3 linked regions of the Drosophila melanogaster genome follow. The gene in region 1 interacts genetically with each later gene. Each region holds a gene or a part of one and is shown in the gene's direction. Other genes may lie near its edges.

Region 1 (8,454 bases):
ATCTGCGCGACATGCGCAACAAGAGGGTGTGCTTCCCCTGGGTGGGCAGCTTGGCCGGTTGGATTGTGCCCATTCACACGGTGAGTAGAACTCCTCTTTTAAGTTGATTGTTTATTTGTTTCATTAGGCAACTAACAAACAAATTTTATCGTTTTGCAGCTCCAAAGGGAGGGCGGCATGGAAGTGGTGGACTGCAACAACCAGGTGAAGACGGCCGCCAGCTATTTCAATAATTCGTGTGCTGTGTACTCGCTTTCCGACAAACACAATCCAATTGGCGACAACTCCGATAAGTAATGACGCATAAAAGCCACAATTTTACACACATTAACTAACAACAAATCAATTTTCAAACCAGACTTTGTACGCTTTGCACTGGAAAGATACCCGGAGGACGCTGCTCATCTGCAGATCCCTACTTCGGCTACGAAGGCGCCTTCAAATGTCTGCTTGAAAAAGGAGATGTTGCCTTCTTGCGCCATTCGACTGTGAATGAAATGCTGCAAACCACCGAATTCAGTGAGTTACCAAAGGGAAACTTCTGAAAACCCATTACTGATCTAAGCTGCGTTTTTTAGAGAACATAGCACCCGACACTTTTGAGCTGCTGTGTCGTGATGGTCGTCGTGCCTCCATCAACGATTATCGCCAGTGTAATTGGGGCCAAGTGCCCGCCGATGCCATTGTCACATCTTCGGCTCGCAGCTTCAGCGATCGCAAGCAGTATCAGCAGTTTTTGAAGCGCATTGCCGAGCTGTACTCCGATGGCACACGTGATGATCAGAGCAGGCAGGGAGGACAAAGCTTCAACAGCCGCAACAACATCAACGATCAGAATGCCTATGGCCAGTTCGATAATAATGATCCGTACAGAACGCAGAATCAATACGATCAGTATCGCAGCGAACGATTGGACAGCAGTTTTGCAGAGGAAAGAAACCAGCAGGACGGCACGAACACTTCCATACTCTATGAGAAGTTCCGCATCTTCGAGTCGAAGCGCTATGGCAAGCCAAATTTGCTGTTCCAGGTAAGTGGATCATATTTTCCGTGATCCGAAATACATACTTAACATTCAATTGTTTTGTGACAGGATTCTAGTCGCGCTCTAACCGTGATTCCCGAAGATGATCAGTCATTTACCAAGTACCTAGGCCCTGCCATTAACTTTATCTACGGCATCCGTGAGTGTCCAGTTCCAGCGATGACGCTTTGCGTGACTTCGGAGAATGAGCTTGATAAATGCATCAAGATGAGGGTGAGTTGAAGAGTGAATATATGGATAGCAAGATGAGTTGATGATCCTTTACAAAAACACTTTTAGACTGCCTTGAAAGCTCACCTCCTGAAACCAGAACTCATCTGCAAGAAAATGCACTCCCACATCAACTGCATGCAGTTCATCGAAGCGGGCAAAGCAGACATCTCCGTTTTCGATGCCGGCGATGTCTACACTGGTGGCCTCAACTACGACCTGGTGCCCTTCATGTCGGAGGTGTACAATCTGGGCGAGCCCGAGTATTATGTGGTTGCCGTGGCCAAGGAGGATGATCCCGATACGGAGCTAACTTACCTGAAGGGTAAGAATACCTGCCATACGGGCATTAACACCGCCGCTGGCTGGACATATCCGATGGCGCTTTTCATCTCGAACGGCTGGATTCGTCCCTACGGATGCGATTCGGTTCGAGCTGCCGCGGAGTACTTCACCAAGTCGTGCGTGCCGGGTGCCATTAGCAATGAGTACAACACCGGTGTGCCCTACGACAGCATGTGCGATCTGTGTCATGGAACTAGCTATCGCTATTGTCGTCGCGATGCCTCCGAGGAATACTACGGGCACACGGGTGCATTCCGTTGCCTCGTCGAGGGCGGCGGTCACGTGGCCTTCATGAAGCACACCACGGTGATGGAAAGCACGGGCGGCAAACGCAAGGAATGGTGGGCCAGGAATGCCCTAAACGATGACTTTGAGCTGCTCTGCACGGATGGTACTCGTGCCGAGATCCAGGACTACAAGCGCTGCAATCTGGGCAAGGTTAAGGCCAATGCTGTGGTCACCCGCGGCGGAGTCAACTACAACGAGACCCAGATGAATGCCTACATCAATCTGCTGACCTATGCCCAACAACTGTACGGTCGCAAGGAAGTGGACGCCTTCAGTTTCAGCATGTTCTCCTCGCCGATCGGGCACTATGATCTGATCTTCCAGGACGCCACGCGGCAGCTGCAAGTAATTCCGCCCAATAAGCGCAGGTATGATGCCTATTTGGGCAGCGATTTTATGCGAGCACGCCGCATCACCGACTGCTATGCTGGTGCCTCCCAGTTGGCATTATCCGTGGGCCTGCTCCTCGTGGGTTCGCTGGTTGCAATGCTCTAAGCCACTAGACTCACTTAGATTTCAGAATTCTACAAGCATCTCTAGCACAAAGAGAAAACATATCAACATTTTTACATTCCAAATATGATTAAGTTAAATGTGAAATCCCTTCCGTCCGAAAATGAAACTCTAACTAGCCGAAAAATATCTGTTGAAGGCTATAGTTTATAATTTATAAAGTCCTGTGCCTTATTATAGTATTTGTTTGTGTACATACCAACTAAGACCGTCCAAAAAATGTACCTAGGAGATGTAAGCCGAATCTTTTACAACCGCTTATGTAAGTATACAAATAAAATAACTAGATAAAGGAGTTATTTTGCTTATTTTGAATTAGTATCATTTGAAGAATCCTAATATCTTGACCGCAATTGTAGCCGCCAAATTCAAATTGAATATGTGCGCTAACATCGCTTTGAAACATAGATGTTATTGAAATTTACGCTGGTAAATATTGCATTTAACCTTAAAACACTCTGTATTGTTTATAAAGCCAGTAAAATGTTTGAAATTAAAGAAAATAGCGTAGTTACAAGTTTCAGCGCAGTGTGACCGCTTGGCCGCATAAGCAAGGGTGGAACAGTGCCGCGAAACGACGGTCACACCCGCCTGCACACATCTGTGGAATTGTTAAATTTCGAAAGTCCGGAAAAACCGGACGGAACCTTTCACCTCGCTCTGGACCAGTGGCACCGCCCTCGAGTATCGCAAGATGTCTATTAACCTGCGCACCGTCTACGCCTTCGCCCGCGAGATGTACCCAAAGACCTCCAAGGAGACCATCCAATATGGAACAGCTGGCTTTCGCGGCAAGTGAGTAGTTGCCTCCATTAACGATCTTAATAATCATCATAATCATTATGCTAACACACCCACACGATGCACACGTTGGCGCATTTGATTAGCACACGGCGATTGTTGGTGGTTTTTTTTTTTTTTTGATAAATGGGCGGTTGCAGGGCTGTGATGTTGGAATTTGGCGTTTATTTTTAGATATTGTTCACCTTTTATCAATGGACATGCCCTTCTTTCGCCGTTATGTCTGCCTGTATGTGCGTAAGTGTGCGTGCATGTGCATATGTGCATACATACTGACGCACAGTCGCGGGCAGCGAACTAGTGCCACATGTGCAAGTTGCAATATTTTCAAATCTCAATGATTAATAACTTGTTATTTGTGAAAAATGAACCAACTAAGTATTTGATTACATAGTTTGTGGTTTCCGCGCCCTTATTTTCTAACCACTTTACAGCCAGATAACAAAGTTTCCATGACACACCTACTGATAAAAGCAATTGCAACGCCTAAAATGAGCAATACACAGTGCTTCTATAGGCTTATCAATCCAGCGAAGATAAAATAGATAGCTAAAGTGATAACACACATATAAACAAACAACATTAGGTACAAAACATTTTCCAACTCCAAAATACAAGCTAAAAGATACTTTTGTATCTAAACAAAATCCTGATGTAATAACTCCGCATTTTTTTTTTAGGGCTGAGTTCCTGGACAGCGTGATGTTCCGCATGGGCGTTCTGGCCACCCTGCGTTCCCGGTATCGCGGAGGCTCCGTCATCGGTGTGATGATCACGGCATCGCACAATCCGGAGCCGGACAACGGAGTGAAGCTGGTCGATCCCAAGGGCGAGATGCTGGAGGCCAGCTGGGAGGCGATAGCCACCGATCTGGTCAACGTCAGCGACCAGGAGCTGGAGCAGCAGGTGGCCAAGATCATAAAGGACAACAATATCGATGTGACGACCAGTTCCCAGGTGTTTGTGGGCATGGACAACAGATACCACAGTCCGCGGCTGCTGAAAGCGGTGGCCGATGGCGTGATAGCGCTAAAGGGTAACGTCAAGGAGTACGGCATTGTGACCACACCCATGCTGCACTACTTCGTGGTGGCGGCGAATACCAAGGAGGCATACGGCAAGCCCACCGAGGAGGGTTACTACGACAAGCTGATCAAGGCATTCGAACTGCTGCGCAACGGGCGCCTGGAGAACGGCAACTATCGCAATAGCATCATCTACGATGGTGCCAACGGTGTGGGTGCGCGCAAGATGCTGCAGTTCATCAAGCGCATGAAGGGCACCCTCAACGTGACGGTCATTAATCAGGGCATCGGTGTCGGCAAGATCAACGAGGACTGCGGCGCCGACTACGTGAAGGTGCAGCAAAGTCCGCCGAAATCCATGCCCGAGGATGTGAAGCCGTACACGAGATGCGTCAGCGTGGATGGCGATGCCGATCGGGTGGTGTACTTCTTTACCGACGACAAGGGTGAGTTCCATCTGCTCGATGGCGATCGCATAGCCACCCTAATCGCCGGCTATCTCATGGAACTGGTCACACAATCCGAGATTAGCCTACGGCTGGGCCTGGTGCAAACTGCCTACGCCAATGGTGCATCCACGGACTACATAGTGGACCAGCTGAAGTTTCCCGTTTCGTGCGTACCCACGGGCGTGAAGCACCTGCACCACAAGGCCTTGGAGTACGACATTGGTGTTTACTTCGAGGCGAATGGCCACGGAACGATTGTGTTCAGTGACAATGCTAAGGCGACGATTGCCCAGGTGGCCCAAACTAAGGAGAGTGCCAAGACGTTGCTGCTGCTCATCGATCTTATCAACGAGACCGTGGGCGATGCCATATCCGACATGCTGCTGGTGGAAACAATCCTAAATCACAAGGGCTGGGATGTCCAGGATTGGATCTCGTCGTACAACGATCTGCCCAACCGACAGCTAAAGGTGAAGGTGCAGGATCGCAATGTCATCGAGACGACGGATGCGGAACGCGTGTGCGTAAAGCCCGAAGGTCTGCAGACGGAAATCAACCAGGTGGTGGCGAAATACAAGCGGGGACGCTCCTTCGTTCGCCCCTCGGGCACCGAGGATGTGGTGCGCGTCTATGCCGAAGCAGCCACCAAAGAGGTAAGGCTTATAAGTTAACTCTTAGCACTAGATCAAAACACTCTACTTACTATCTTTTTTTTACGACAGGACACCGATAATCTTGCCTACGAAGTGGGTCTGCTGGTCCAGAAACTGGCCGGCGGAGTTGGCCCCCCATTGACGAAGCCCAACAGCAGTGCCCACCTGTAGAGCGGAATGACGAACTAACCTCTCACGGGAATCGACAATTGACACAGATCCTGGATGGAGCAATAAATCTCTTTACTCTAAGGTGCTCAATAACTTAAAAAAAAAACAACTTAACTCTCAAACGCATTTATTCTGCAAATGTTCACTGTCTTTTGTGTTCTAAAGATGACATATTTTTTGCCATTATTTATAAAGTTCTTTTCAAGTTTATTTATACATATGTACATTGTGAAAGTTGCAATTTTATGTCCTTCGCTATTTTGTAATTGAAGAATTTAATGAAAATGCAACCGCTACGTTGATTTTTTTGTTGAGCTGCTAGCGGTAACTATTGAAATTATAAAAGAATTGATAGTAGAGATTAATGAACCTAATCAAGTTTGTATTGCTATTTTCTATAAAAGTATTTTTTAAACAATCTAAAGATCCTTTTACTTTAGGTCGAATATAAATCAGTTTTCACTTCATTTGGAATTTACTATGCTGTACGCACAATTTATGGCAAATTTAAATCACTGTCCCGGCAAATAAATTAAAATTTTGCCAACTTTTATTTTTAAACTTAACATTTTAATAAATGTTAATGGAGCTGGCAGAATTGAAACGCGCCATCTGGCGGTCAGTAGCGGAGACATGTAGGACAGTAATTGATAAGGACTACTGTTAACTGTTACAATGTAAGCAAATACTTCAAAACTGTTATACTTGTGTTAATTAAAGCATACGTTCAAAAGTCGAGTTGAGTTATTGAATGTTAACTGTTCGTAGTTCGAAAGTTATCTAATTTAGCTAACTAATTTAGCAATTGTTTATAAAAAAGTTTTACTTGAATATTATTAATACTCGGTATATCTATGCAAATGGTATTAAAAGTATATTTTCGCATGCCGGATGGTTTACTCGTCTAAAACTCAGCCGGTCACACCGTCTGATTGCCGTGCTGTCACTTTGGCTGATGCAATTGCAGTTTTTTTAGTTAAAACAAAATTAGTTTCCAGTCAACTAGTATTCAAACAGCCCAGACACAATGGACGCGGAAGACGTAAGTTCCCGGAACACCGGCTAGTGCGTTTCATACGCGGAAAACTTGCGTGGAAAATTCGCATATTATCGTACATGTGCGCCCTTGTTTGCGTATGTGTATGTGTGTATTTACACATTTGTGTATGAGAACTGGGCGAACATTGAGGTTATGTTTGCTTGATCCGGATTTAAACCATATTGAAATTCCAATGATTTTCGCAGGGTTTTGATCCCACTTTGCTGAAAAAGAAGAAGAAGAAGAAGACCACGTTCGATCTGGACGCGGCATTGGGTCTGGAGGATGACACCAAGAAGGAGGATCCCCAGGATGAGGCATCGGCGGAAGGAGGTGCCGCCGCCGAGGAGGATAATCTAGATCTGGAGAGTTTCGGCAAGAAGAAGAAAAAGAAGAAGAAGCCCTTCAACATGGACGAAATCGAAGCGGCCATACCCAGCTTTGGCGGCGATGATGTGGCCGCCAGCGAGGAGCCCGAGGAGGAGGAGATCAATCTGGACATGGACTTCTCGATGGCCAAAAAGAAGAAGAAGAGCAAGAAGAAGGAACTGGACGAGCTGTTTGCGGACCAAGCGGACGACGACAAGAGCGAAGACAAAGAGAACGGTACGGTGACGAATTGCAGAGCAGCCAGGGAAGCTTAGGGTTATAGAATCATCCCAACCAAGATTGGCAGCCATATAAGCTTGTTGTCACTTGACAAAGGCAAAGCTATACGATTCTTAAAGTGTATAACTTGGCTTTCGCCTTTTCCGAAGCATTAAAACTCAGTGTATGAAGTGAACTAGAAATGCTTAGCCAGTGAGTTAGCATGTAGCTGTTCCAACTTTAAATAGACTCCAGATTTCAAAGCTCTCACTTAGCAAATAAGCTTATACCATACCCTTTTAAATAACGTTTTCATCCGTTTACAGACGAGGACAACAGCTCAACCTGGTTTGGCTCCGACCGCGATTACACATACGACGAGTTGCTGAAGCGGGTCTTCGAAATCATTCTCGACAAGAATCCGGACATGGCCGCCGGCCGAAAGCCAAAGTTCGTGATGCGACCGCCGCAGGTGCTGCGCGTGGGAACCAAGAAGACCTCCTTTGCCAACTTCATGGACATTGCGAAAACGCTGCATCGCCTGCCCAAGCATCTGCTCGATTTCCTGCTGGCCGAGTTGGGTACCAGTGGCTCCATGGACGGCAACCAGCAGCTGATCATCAAGGGCCGTTTCCAGCCCAAACAGATCGAGAATGTGCTGCGTCGCTACATCAAGGAGTACGTCACCTGTCACACCTGCCGCTCCCCGGAAACGATATTGCAGAAGGACACGCGTCTCTTCTTCCTGCAGTGCGAATCCTGTGGCTCCCGCTGCTCGGTGGCCAGCATTAAGTCAGGTTTCCAGGCTGTCACCGGCAAACGTGCCGCCATACGAGCAAAAACAACCTAAATTCTCCTTATTTAAAACTTTTTGAATTTTTATTACCAGTAAAATTTCAATACAAAAAACCAACGATACTATTTATTTGTTGTATTCTGCATTGTTTTATGCCTTCGTTGCCAGTCGGTTAGGTAGTCTACGAAGCCAATTTCCATATTCCGCGATCGGCCGCTGTCTATGAAGAACTGAAAAGCGTCCAGACCCATCTTGCCGCGGAACCTATTCGGACGACCGCGCAGGAATAGGCTGTGGCCCCTCGAGATGCGCGTGGGATCAATGTACTCCATGGAGACCTGCAGCAGCCGCATCATGCTCACGGCAATGCTCTTGTAGGCCTCGGACGAGGCCAGCGAACTGGCTTCACTGTACAGGCTGCTGATCACGCGTCCATTGAAGGGTTTTTTGGTGATGCTGGCCTCCAGGGAGCCGGTGCCATCATCGATCATGAACTTCATGAACGACTCGTTGTGCGTTCCATTGCCAGTT
Region 2 (6,533 bases), on another chromosome or scaffold:
TGGATTTTTTAAAGTCGACATTTGTATAGATATCTGCATATCTGTTTCGGACCTGGGTCCGTTCATCGACCCACCAAGCGGATTGCATTGTCAACAATGGTCAAATGGTATGATCCACTTGGTCTAATAACCCCAATTGTCAGAAAATCACATGATCTTTCTGCAATCTCTATGGAGTGCTAAGGTGGAATGGGACGACGCATAGCCAGACCAATTTTTTCGTCATGGTGGGAGTTGACTTCACAGTTATCGGTCGTAGAGAACTTAAAATTTCATTTATCTTCGCGAAGGCAGATGTAAACGGTGACCCTGATGCAACAACACTCCTGGAAAGGATTGAGCTGCGAGTATTTGTCCCTATTCCAAGAGAAACGCAAGTGTCGCGTCGTAGTTTTGCTTAAGGAGGACAACATTCCACCGTTGAGATGTCATTTTGAGCGCATCCAGGAAGTCATATCCGGCGGGGACAGCGTCATCAGAGTAGCTATCAAGAGAGCCGTCGTCCAACCAGTTGCCCCATCGATTTCGATATAGTTGGAACCGTACCTCTAACAACGAGCAGTCATGCGCTTATATTGTATGTATGTGTGACACCTCCTGCAGCGCTCTTCGGGTAACTATTTTCGCCCTTATTTCTACTCTGGCTAAAAATGTTGGGTTATCTATTCAGCTATTCGAAATCGCTACAGAAGCCTCGTCTGTTCATTTCTTTAAAATAGCTAATAAAAAGGCTTCTTAGCTCAACATACATGATACAAAATTTTCAACAAATTTAGTATGCCGACTTCCCCAACTATCATATACCCGTTACTCAGCTAGTTGAAATTGCGGCAGTTTTGGGCGGCTTAAGGCGTTAGAGTGGGTGTCTCAAAAATTTTTTGGCAGATAGATAGAACTTTACAAGACTAAAAATGTTATGAAAATATATCCAAAAATTATTCAAAAATGTGGGCGTGGCACTTTTGCTCGGTTTTAGGGCGTTCGAGTGGGAGTGGAAAATAGTGTTTTGGCAAATCGATAGAAATTTACAAGACTAATAAAATTATAACAAAATATCCAACAAATTTTCAGTCTTGGGCGGTTTTAAAGCCTTAGAGTCGGCATGACAAATCAATAGAAATTTACAAGACTAACAAAATTATAAAAAAATATCTAAAATTTTGAAAAATTGTGCGAGTGGCAGTTTTAGGGCTTTAGAGTGTGCGAGGCAACAATTTTTTTTTGCAAATCGATAGAAATTTACAATATTAATAATAATGTAAAAAAAATCAACACGTGTTTTTAAAAGTGTGTGTGCGCCTTTGTCCCTAGAATCTGTATGCTGAATCTTAACCTAGCTTTCAATCTAGCTTTCATAGTTCCTGAGATCTCGACGTTCATACGGACTCGGCTATTGGTCCCTGATCAAGAATATAAATACTTCATATGGTCGGAAACGCTCCCTTCTGTCTGTTATTTTTTAAAGAATATTTACGAATATAACAAATATTCAAGAATAACGAATTTTTTAATATTAACATTAGCAGTATAATTTTAAATAATTCAAATACTGTAAGCATATATAATTTCCAAATGAAAAATTCTTAAGCCTCAATGCATTTTCATATATAATTATACAACTGCTTATACTTACCTGCGATTTTCGAGAACGGTGCAACGTCGTGGTCGGATGGGACTTTAACGTGTGGGCCGCTCTAGTGTGGTCGCCACACACAACTCCCAAGGGCAAATTAAATCTCGAAACATTCGCTAGGCTGGACGTTCAACAGTGCCGTTGCAGGATTAATTATCGACCTCACGTTCATAAGCAGTCCATTCGCTCGCTTCTCCTGTTGGGGTATCAAGGAGGTGGTCACAGTCAGTGACCACGAGGCGATCCAGGTCGAAATAGGCACAAAGGCAATCGAGAGCAGGGCTAACACGCAGTAACCTAAGGCCTACCGACAGAACACCATGAGTCTAGAAGAGTCCGCCGGCATTCTCCATTACCTGACGGTCAACGAGGCGAACTTGTGATCGCAGCAGCGGATAAAATAGTAGCGAGGGTGGAGGAGGCCTGCGGCCAAAGCATGCGAATGAGGAAAACGAACCGAAGGCACCACACCCTGGTTTTCTGGTGGAGCGAGGATATTGCCTTGCAGCGCATCATCAGCCTACGCGCAACGAGACTCGTACAAAGAGCTCGTGGCACCACGCGTCTGGAAGCATGCCATACGGAATACAAGGTCACAAAGAATTCACCGAAGAAAACGATTAGAGCCAGCAATCGTGAATGCTTTCTGAAAGTCTGCGTCGCAGCAGAAAGCGATCCATCTGCTCTGGAAAACATCTTTAACGTTCTGTTCCTGTTCGGTCTGCCATTCCCAATTCCCAGATCGGGCCAAGCGGAGACGAATTGCGGCCTGTCACGGAGCCCGAGATCCTAGCGGCTGAGAGGAGTCTTAAAACCAAAACGGTACCACACCCGATCGCATCCCAAGCAAACTACGAGAAACAGTGCTATGTTTGTTACCGCCTAAATTTGAAGGTTTTTTTTTTGTTTTACCAATTATTTTTAAAATATCCATGAGATCTGTTACTAATTTTTTTATTTCGATTGAAAATCATTGTAGTATTTAAGTTTAGTGAGTAAAATAATGAGAAAGTGTCAGAAAATAGAGAAAAGCTGGGACAAACACGAAATGTGCTTATGATGCTATTATTGTTACCGCAACTGTAATAAAGAGAGTTTCTTGACAGTCTTAAAAGCGTGTAAACTTGGAATTTGTTGTTTATTTTCTTGTATATTTAATATTTTTAATTTGTTTTTTGATTTATAAGTAAAATAAATATTGTTTGATTATATTTTATAAAAAAAATTGCGTTTAATTAAGCAAAAAACCCTTTATTTTTAGCTTTAAAGTCAAAAATTCAACTTATTTTACAGTGTGTAAACAGTTTCTTGACAAACTGTATGTGATATGTGATTCTAGAGACATAGGCGCCGCGCAAGTTTGTTAACCCATGTTGCCATGTGCAATCCAACGCACACATACCGGACAAAACTGCCACGTCTACACTTATGTAAAATGTTTTATTATTCTTTCATATTTTTATTTTCTTTTAAATTTCTATGAATTTGCCAGAAAACATTTTGCCATGACCACTCTAACGCTAACAATTTCAAAATGTTTTGAAATTTTTTGATTTTTGTATACAATTTCTATTAATTCGCGGCCACGGCCCTTCTTACACCTTCCAAACCGGTCAAGACCGAACTTTTGATCAATTTGAAACAATTTTGTTCTTATTTTATATCCCAGTATTTAACGATATCCCAGAAAAATGATGAATGAATTTCGTGTTCCCATTTTCACGAGCTGACTAACGGTTATCTGATTGACTCGACAATACCATTCTCTCTTCATTTGAAATTATATGTGGTATATCATTGGTATAACATTGATATTATGTTAATATGGTTTTTGCCGCCGTAAGAATAGGGTATAAGCTATTAAGTTGCTGTTCACAGTGTTCAATATTTGAGTATGTAAATATTTGATTTTCTCTTGTAAATCGTATTAACAGCTGAGTGGATGTTTGAAAATAATTAAATCAGGTTGCTTTTATAACTTAATGCAATTCATATTGATATTTTACTGATATTCTCTTTCTTAAAGGTTTAATCATGTAAACAACATCACAGTGTCTTTACTTAAGGGTGGCTTATTGATTTTAGACACATGTTATCAACGTTGGATTTTAATGCATGTTGAACAAACACGAATAAATATGCAGTCTCAAGGACAGAGCCATCAACTGCCGTCCGCGGCCCATATATTATTAGATCAAAATCCGAATTCAACAGGCAGTAACCTAGTCGTAAAACAAAATGACATTCAATCTCTTTCATCAGTCGGTAAGAAATAACCATACATTTATATATGTATGTACATACGTTTGTAATTGATTTTTTTAAAGAATACATCTAGTTAAATACTTTATACATTAATGCAAATGAATAAGTTTGACAGCGAAGACAACCACAATTAAATTAAGAAAAATCAATAAATCAAACAATTGGTTATGCCTGGCCCGAGATAGATATGTGTCTAATGTGTCTCATATTAACAACATATTAAGAGATGCATATGGTGTACGCATCTAAAAATTCACACAACATAAAAATCAGTGTTCAGTGTCTGAGCTTATTTCGTGTAGTTAAATTAATTTTTATGTTGGCATTGCTTCGATGAAAGATACCAGAAAAATGTAAACGCAATATTTTTGAAAGAATTATTGACATGGTTAAAAAACAGACGATTTCCGTATTCTAAATGTGCATCCCTCATTAAAGCCGTATCTTGTAAGGGGTATCTGGTAGTCGAGAAACTCGTCTATAATGTTATCTCTCACTCCATCTAAAATTAAATTTTTTATTGTAATTTTTTTTTTTTCTGGCTTAAAGCTTACTTTGCACTTAAATTTTTTTTCGTTCTGCTGTAGCTTGCACGTTTTTCCTTTTTTAAATTTTTGACAACATATATTACATATATGTACATATATTATTTGGTATTCATTGAAAAGTTCTTCGGTGCTTTTCGGCCTTCATTCAATACAGTATTTTCTTTTAGGGAGAAGCTTCCGCTTCTCCGCGAAGTTGGATCAATCTCGGATATTAAAATTAAAAAATTGTTAGGTTTAAAATGGCCATTTATTGAATATTAACATACTGCACAAAATAAGCTGCGGCATAAAAAACACCTTTTTGTTTTCTAAAACGATTAGAAAATTGCTTTTTTTTTATATAACAAATTTAAGAATCCGGTGCTGAAATACCTTATTGGTTTGAAACCTCTAAACTGTACGAACAAACTACAGCAGACAACTTCGGATGTGTCCTTTGAAATTTCAAGGGTTCGTTACCCTGCATATCCGTTGGTTAATCTGCACCAATTGAAGTGCTTAACACTAGTCTAATTTGTTTAAACTGTATTATTTCTAGAATATCATTGACTGCGTAGTGAGAGATCTTGAAAACTCATTGACTCGGCCCATTTTAGGGTAGTCCTGAATCTGGATGTGTATGATCTATACCTGTATTTCAATCTGCATACATATGCATGTGTCTGCAGTTCTCAGTGTGTGTCTCAATCATCTTTCCTTGCTGTACCTGAGGAATTATCTCTTGAGCATAGTATCTAGTTGCCTTCTCTAAAGTATGAAGCTTATACAGATTACTTCCTCTGATAATTGCACGAAATAATATTCAGTGTGAAGAAGGAAGTTTAAAAATAAGTTTTGTTTTCATTTTATTATTTGCCTTGCTATGTTTTATTGATTTAAAAATCTGTTGCGGAACTCGACCAAAGGGTACGGCCAAAGACACCAGAATAACAAGATGCGTAACGCCATTCGATGTGGCTCTAGAGCACTATGGGGCATTTGGCCTGTTTTTTTTACAATAATGTGTTTTTCACAAGTATGCAAATTTGAAGTATTTTAGTATTAATACATTGGAAATACGTTAAACTGTTATGATACAGCCCGCAAAAGTTAATTTTACAATGCACCGTTATAATAACAGCTGTTAAAGTCGGCTGTTGCGAGCATATATCACGTGGCTGCTTTGCGCGCAAAATTTAGCTTAACTTTCAAAGTGTTAAAATTTAAAAAGAAGAAGAAGGAGAGTATAATTTGAAATAGATAATCAATCTTTAGGTTTTTATTATGTGTTGTTATTAATATATTGTTTATTGTGTGCGCCTATTTCTAACAATTTGTACATTTAGCAAGTGGTGTCAACATGTAGTTGTTTGAAAAAATTTTAAACTTTGAATAGAGCTACAACAATTTGTTCAAATTTGTTCAGTAAGTGTTTATATCCATGTTGTAGTGTGTTCAATTTCTAACTCATATCAGGTAGTCTCTATGTGCGTTTTTTGCGGTTTCTTGAGAAATTTCATTTTTTAGGGAGCAATATCTCGATTTCCAATGCTGCCCTGCTGGAAGTGTGGCGCAAGCAAAAGGTTGTTCGTCAAAAGGAAAATTCTATTTGCACTTTTATCAGTGGGCATATTTCTGATAGCAAGCTAGACTTTAATGAACGATTAACGAATAATATTAATAACGAATGATTTCAGTCAATCTTTTGCGAAATTGGAGAAAATGCAATCGAAAAATAAATGAATTTTTGAAAGTTTTTCAAATTGGTTAGAAGAACACCTAGTCCTGAAGGTAAAGGAGAAAAATAAAAAGGAAAGGAAATTAGCTGGACTCCCGAAAACGTCATATTATTTAAAAAATTTGAGTGGCCGAAGACAGCAAGCAGATGAACTCGTAAGGGCGCAGAATCACAACGAATGTCTTTTGGTTCAAGCTGTACGGAAGTGCTGCCTGCGGGATCTTGCAGCCATACTTAAAATTCTTTTGTTGAACCCAGCCAAAGCAAAAACTATTAGTAGCTTCGCAGATGTCTTTTACAGAGCAATGGATACTACGGATCCCATAATATCATCAATAAATTTAAAGAGGCGAAAACATAAGCGACTATC
Region 3 (6,305 bases), on another chromosome or scaffold:
CCAGATTCCTTGTTCCCGGTCTCCAAGTTCCAGCCAACCCAGGTGCAGTTATGATTTATGCGATACTCCTTCTCCGCCTCCTGCTCAGCGGTGGTTTGAGGTGAGGCACCAGTGCTTCGAACGGCGTAAATTATATCGGGCTTAGCATAAATCGTCAATTACAGCACATGATTATTATTAGGGATTATGGGGACCGGGACTAAAAACCAGGGAATACATACATATACAAAGGCCACGCCCGCGCGCCAAGCCCAATCCGGCCGAAAGGTCTGTTTAAACGCACTTTTAAGCGCCAGTTTTAGCCGCCCCAGCCCATACCATATCCATTTGCCCCCTCTCTTCTAAAGAGCCAGCTTTAAATTATGGCCTAGACCGCGACGGCGGCTAAGACCCTTGGTGGAACAGAAAACGGGCAGATAAAACCACTTTCCGAACTGAGAACTTCGAACAGTAGCCATAGCCAGTAGAACAGGGAAGATCGTGTTGCTGGGGATATCTAATATAATTAATACACCTTTCATTAGATTCGCCGACTCTACTCGAGATTTCTGCTGGCCTTTCGTTTCCAGCGTTTCGAGCGTCGTGTTAAAAGCAAGATATCAACGATCGCCGGTCTGCTTAAGCTGATTTACCATAGATCCAGAGATACATCAACCAGCCAGCACAATATAAATCAATCAAGTGCATACAAGTTCATTGACAGCTCGCACAGCTTGCCGAGCCCCAAAGCGCTCGGCGATGGCAACAATTTCCAGCCCCACATGATCCATGAGCCATGATCCTCCGCTTGGATACCCGAACACCCATCTCTGTGGCAGGCCAACTGGCCAACTCTGGGTCTAAACCAAAGAAGAAAAAAAAAGGCCAACAGCCTGTCAAATTGCCGGACCACATTGTAAGTTATGATTAGCTCACGCGCTCAAAGATTTAAGACCGGAAATGGCGCGGTGCTGGCAAGGTGGAGCCAATAATTCAAATTCGAATCTCCAATAGTTTTTGAGTGATTGGAAATTCGATTTCGGGCTTTTGTTTTGTTTTTTCTCGCATTTTTGATTTTTGCTTTCCGCCTGTCTCGAGGCTTATTGCATTTTCATTTATTTTGCTATTTGCCTGCTCTTGTGGCAAATGCAAACACACCCGCATAATTTCGCCTGCCAGCAGCAACCCACTCGGTTTGGATTGCGAAGATGCCAAATTGCCACGCACAGTTGATGCATAAATTATCATCGACATCGCCAACGAATGGAGCCATCGAATTGGTCTGGTTTTAAGCGGGTTTTTGGTTCTAGGCAATGATGAATCAATGTTTTGCAGGCCTAACTTATTTGAGCCCATATGATACAATAAATACATTCAACTCAATTTCTTAATCTTAATCTACTAATCCCAAAATTTAATTGATTTCCCAAGTCACCTAGCAAAAGTTAATATATTGCTCTTCCTTATTTTCATTGACAGCTTCAATAGCCCATCTGTTTATCTATTGCAACTGAATAAGTCTAGCAGTTAACTTATTTTTTGGTTGTTTAATCCGCTGGTCGAAAGCGTTTCTCATTGGCATATTTCGCATATAATTGGCTATAAAAATTCATGTTAATGTGCAATTAATCATATTAGCAATTAACTTTATGCTGTTTGGCTGCTCTGCACGAGATCTCGACGAGCTGCGATCTGCGAGATGGCTGCAGATCGTGTCGCCCAACTCGAAGATCGTGTCTCCAAAAGCCTGTTACCGTTCCCGATTTTTCATTTCCCATTCGCAGATTCCCAGAGCCAAATGGCCAAAGGCTCGACCAACCAGACTTTGAGCCAATTTCCCAATATTTATTTCTATGCTCGAAACGCTAACAACTTGCGTTTCGTTCTGGCCAAATTGAAAAGCCATACGGAAGCTGAAGCTGCGATCGGCAGCCTCGAGGAGAAGCACTTTTGGGTAGCCAAGAGGAGCCCGGTTTGGAGCCAGGTTGGAGCCAGGAGGCTTGCCCAGGAGTGCATAAAATTTAAGTATTATGACCATACACACTGATCGGTGGCCGTCTTTAACCCGTGCTTTCCCCGGTCTCTCTGCGGCTTTACGAGGTTGTTAACTGTTGAAACTATGCTAACCACTCATGGGGATCCTCCCTCCCAATTCCGCCGTGGAGCATCAATTAATCAGTCAGGCGTAACGCCATTTGGCACTGAACGGGTCCCGTCGGCCACAATTGATGGTCAATAATCGTTAATTGTTTTCGATTTTCGGCCAAAATCCCCCCTGCGTCATTGTCCATTGTTTGGCTAACCCTTTTCGTTATTTTTGGTGTCTCCATAGAGACAAACGCTAAACGATGCCATTGTCTTTGGCGCACAGCGTGTGTGCTTTGATGGCCTTTTCACCACGAGTGTCATTCATTAGAGGGGCTTTCTTCCATCGCCACTTGGCTACTGGTTCTTATGTGTCTGTTGGCCATTTGACATTGGCTATAAGTAGCTCATAATTAATAACTGCTAACTTACTTAGCGAGCTATTGTGTTGGCTAATGAATCTCATTCCGCATTTTCCGCCTCAAACGAAGCGCAAAGAAATGCGCAAAGAATTTGTCAGTAGAATCTTAGGCCCTCATAGGCCATAAATCTTTTTAAAAAATAATAATAATTAAATTCAAGTGACTGATCTATTCTGACTAAGATAAGTTAGCTATTCTTTTTAATAAAGCATGATCCATCAAACCAATTATAACTACATAAATAATTGATCTGAATATAAGGAATCTTTTTGACAACTACCCATCTTCTTTGCACCCTCATAATGAAATTCATGAATTTCCTCGCTGCGCTCGAAACTATGCAACATATTGTGCGTTAGAATATCTTTGAGATATTCCATTCGACTCAATTGAACGAATTTTAGAACGAGTGCGGTCTGTGCACTCAATTACATTTCACTTTCCAAGGGAAGGCCGCCACTCAGCTACACACTTGTGTGTGTGTGTGTGTGGGTCCCCCATATATAGGGTATAGGGGCCCCTATACCATATAGTACCATACATACATATACCGCATACCCAACCCCTCGCTTTTTCGACCCTTCCTCTCTTTGGCTGCGGATTATACAATGTGTGGCTGGCGTTCCGTTCAATTTTGTGTGTTTTCTGTATTTGTTTACGCGCCTGCCGCAAAAATACATTGCAGAGATGTGTTCTCCAGCATGTTGAAGTTGATGGGGGAAATGTGAATTCGTTTCATTTGTTCCCTCATTTAATTGAAGAGATTTATTTCGCAGAGCTGGCTCGGTTCTGTTCGGTTCGCTTGCTTTTTTTTGACTCAGTTGCGATCGGACTGCGTGCCGTTACAGTAGGCGAAATCGGAGGAAAATCGTTGGAAAATCGGTTGGAAAATCGTTGGAAAATCGGTGAAAAATCGTCGAAAATTAGAGCGAACGATCGATCGATTGAACGCGTAATAACGCCATATAATATAATTATACTAATAATTATTAGTAATGCCTCTTGGTGAAAACGCACACATTTTGTGGATGGAAAGAAACAAAACAGAGTCAAGTGTGCAACGGTTTCTGGTTCTGTTTAAGTGCCTAAGTGCCATATAAATGCGTACTAAAACATTTCTGGAATTTTAAGTGGAAACATTCTCGAATTCTGTGAACTTTCCCAATTGTGTTTTTAGTGAAAGACTTACAATTTAGACGAAGGCAAGGAGAAATTCCAACGCAGAGACACTTTGGTGGATATTTGGCAAGAAGCTTTTTGGCATTTTTTTTTTTTTGTTCGTGGAGCAACGCACTTTGTGAGGTAAGTCTTTAAAAATACACACCGTGCATCGTTTAATTTAGTTTATTTTGTTTTTGGTTTTTTTTGCGTAGTTGCGCAAATCATTTGTTTGATCCACTTTTTGATTGACCGCGCACAGCAATTTGACTTTTTAACCCAAAGGCCAAAAAGTGTAAAATGTGCAGTGGTTCGGTTCCAAAGCAATTTGTGTCGTTTATCCCGCTGTGTGTGTGTGTAGTCAATCGTTCAATTATCTATTCTCTGGCTACCCCATAATAATACAGTGAATATGGACAGTTGTGGGCTCCCCATAGTATCTGTTTTTTTTATTTTTTATTTATTCCATTCGGTTCTGCTATGGTACATGCTCAAATTGAAAGCACTTTTCCACAGGGTTCCCATTCTAATTTATATTTATTTATTTGCTTTTACAAGCCAACCGATGCCCCAGAGCTCGGGAAAATATTTCAAACTCATAATTCTGTTATATTCCAACGCTCCCTTAGAATGGGATTTTGTTTATTAACCAACAGCATATAGCATATATCGTATCATCTAGAGTCTAGATTCTAGAATGTAGACGGTATAGGAACATGCAATATTTTCTAGCCGCGTAAACAAACATTTCAACTTGTCTGCTCTTTGTCCGACTTGCTCTATATCTGAGTGAGTATATAGCTAAAGATATAGCTATCTGTGTGTATATATATGTATATATATATATTTATCGGGTATCTGTTTTGTCGGTCGGTTAGCTTTACGATGCCATCTTCTAGGTGATTCGGCTTCTGTTTTGTTGCCTTTGGCAATCACTCAATTTGCTGGCCGACAACCGAAGACGCTTCTTACTTTTCGCCTCCCTTCTCTGCAATTTATTTATGAATGATAATTAAGGTTAGGTTTGTTTAGCTAATTGTGCGGCCAGTTCCCGGTATTGTTCCCATATCATCTCAGGTGGGATCCACGCAGACTTTCGGTATGATCCTTTGATCTTTATGATGTTAAAGTACAAATGTCACGAGAATATATGCTTGCTATATAATATTAAATGTTTTCATGAGAGTTTATCATAAAATCAGTGTTTACCAAATAAAGATTTCGATTTAGAAATAGATTTATGTCAACAATAAAGTAATAATGTTATTTTTTGGTATTATAATATATTATAGCTTAAGCTTATCAATGCTACAGCACTTTTATAATGGATTTTGTTGTCTAAATGTTTGTGAGTACTAATAAAATTTTAAAGCTCTAAATGGCAAATTTACAAATATATAAGTAAAGCTTGCAACAATTTAAGAATAGCACATATTTATTTCAACTAAATCTGTTGAACGTTCTTTATATAAATCGCTGCGTGCTTTATATTTCTGAAATGTAAATCGAATCAATAGTTCACTACTCATATACTTTGTGATAATTTAACGTAGCTTCGCGTTTTTGATAAAGTCGACTTGCCACAATCGACCTTTCGCTCCATCTGCTTCTTTTCGTTTACCCCATGGGATGCAACCTTCTCGCCGTCACGTACTGAATGGTATATACTAGATGAACGGGTGGGGATGGATGGATGGATGGATGGCTGGATGGGATTGGCATTGGGTGGCTGATGGCTGGTGGAACCTGCCGACGAACCGTGCGAAATAACAGACTCGTGCCGGTCTCGACTTGGTATCGGATACACTGAGCGGCAGCGGGGCAACCGCCAAGTGCGTCAATTGCGGGTCAACCCGTGCGATTGAAATGGATGCGCCAAGTGACCGGCGATTTCAATTCGATGGGAAATGTACATATACCGTGCAATGTTTGTATACTTTGCAAATACTTTCCGGAACGTGTTTGTTTATAAATCGGGCGATTTTGGACGGCACAGGAAATACATACATATACTAAAATTGCGCGCTCATTATCGATGGAGGTGAAGGTCGGAGGGTGGAGATAGAATACCAAACATATATACAATTTTTGGCAGTTTCCGATTTGGCGGATGCCTTCCTGGAAGTCAACATTTCGGATAACCCCATCATTTAGACGCTGGAGTCGCTACTTCCCCTCGAGAATCGACGACAATGTCTGTGCAACACATGTGGCACGATCTTAGGTAGACATACGTATATGTACATTCGTGTATGTTCGATGCTGATGATGTGCCCACATGTTGCAGTCAACAATAGAGCAACAAATGCAAGCCGAAACAATATTTGCCCTTGTCTCTGCTCTGACTCTGACTGTGGGCGTGGCGACGGGGGCGGGAGAACAGAGACAACTGAACACAGTAGTCTTCTCCGCCGGCCGTTATTTTTGTTGCTTTTAATTTCTTTAATTTTTTTTTGTCCGCCAGATGTGGGCTGAATGTTGAATGCGGACTGGAAAGATCAGACCCAGAACGCGGAGAGAAACTGTGTCTGTTTTAATTAAAGATGAGAGTAATACCCAGTGCAAACTGAGAGATACCGCCGATACTGAGATACAAAGCCAGACGGGGCTGGCATGTGTGGAAAATTAAGGCTGCCGTTGAAAGCGAAAAGATGCGGGACG

What was found. A genetic interaction does not mean that the proteins touch.
Region 2: of nst (region 1) and sxc, changing one suppresses a phenotype caused by changing the other (phenotypic suppression), as found in Drosophila melanogaster (one study listed by BioGRID).
Region 3: of nst (region 1) and htl, changing one enhances a phenotype caused by changing the other (phenotypic enhancement), as found in Drosophila melanogaster (one study listed by BioGRID).

What each region holds. Positions count from the first base shown.
Region 1 is NT_037436.4:12,524,677-12,533,130, reverse strand, and holds nst (nesthocker), read left to right. Parts: upstream 1-2,959; 5' UTR 2,960-3,095; coding exon 3,096-3,196; intron 3,197-3,882; coding exon 3,883-5,329; intron 5,330-5,398; coding exon 5,399-5,500; 3' UTR 5,501-5,916; downstream 5,917-8,454. Other genes in the region: Tsf2 (transferrin 2), read left to right, coding at 1-80, 160-293, 359-519, 579-1,030, 1,094-1,258, 1,325-2,383; eIF2beta (eukaryotic translation initiation factor 2 subunit beta), read left to right, coding at 6,528-6,542, 6,746-7,145, 7,454-7,977; ver (verrocchio), read right to left, coding at 8,046-8,454.
Region 2 is NT_033778.4:5,303,755-5,310,287, forward strand, and holds the start of sxc (super sex combs), read left to right. Parts: upstream 1-3,533; 5' UTR 3,534-3,744; coding exon 3,745-3,898; intron 3,899-6,533.
Region 3 is NT_033777.3:18,049,985-18,056,289, reverse strand, and holds the start of htl (heartless), read left to right. Parts: upstream 1-3,305; 5' UTR 3,306-3,788; intron 3,789-6,305. UniProt on the Drosophila melanogaster protein: May be required for patterning of muscle precursor cells. May be essential for generation of mesodermal and endodermal layers, invaginations of various types of cells and CNS formation.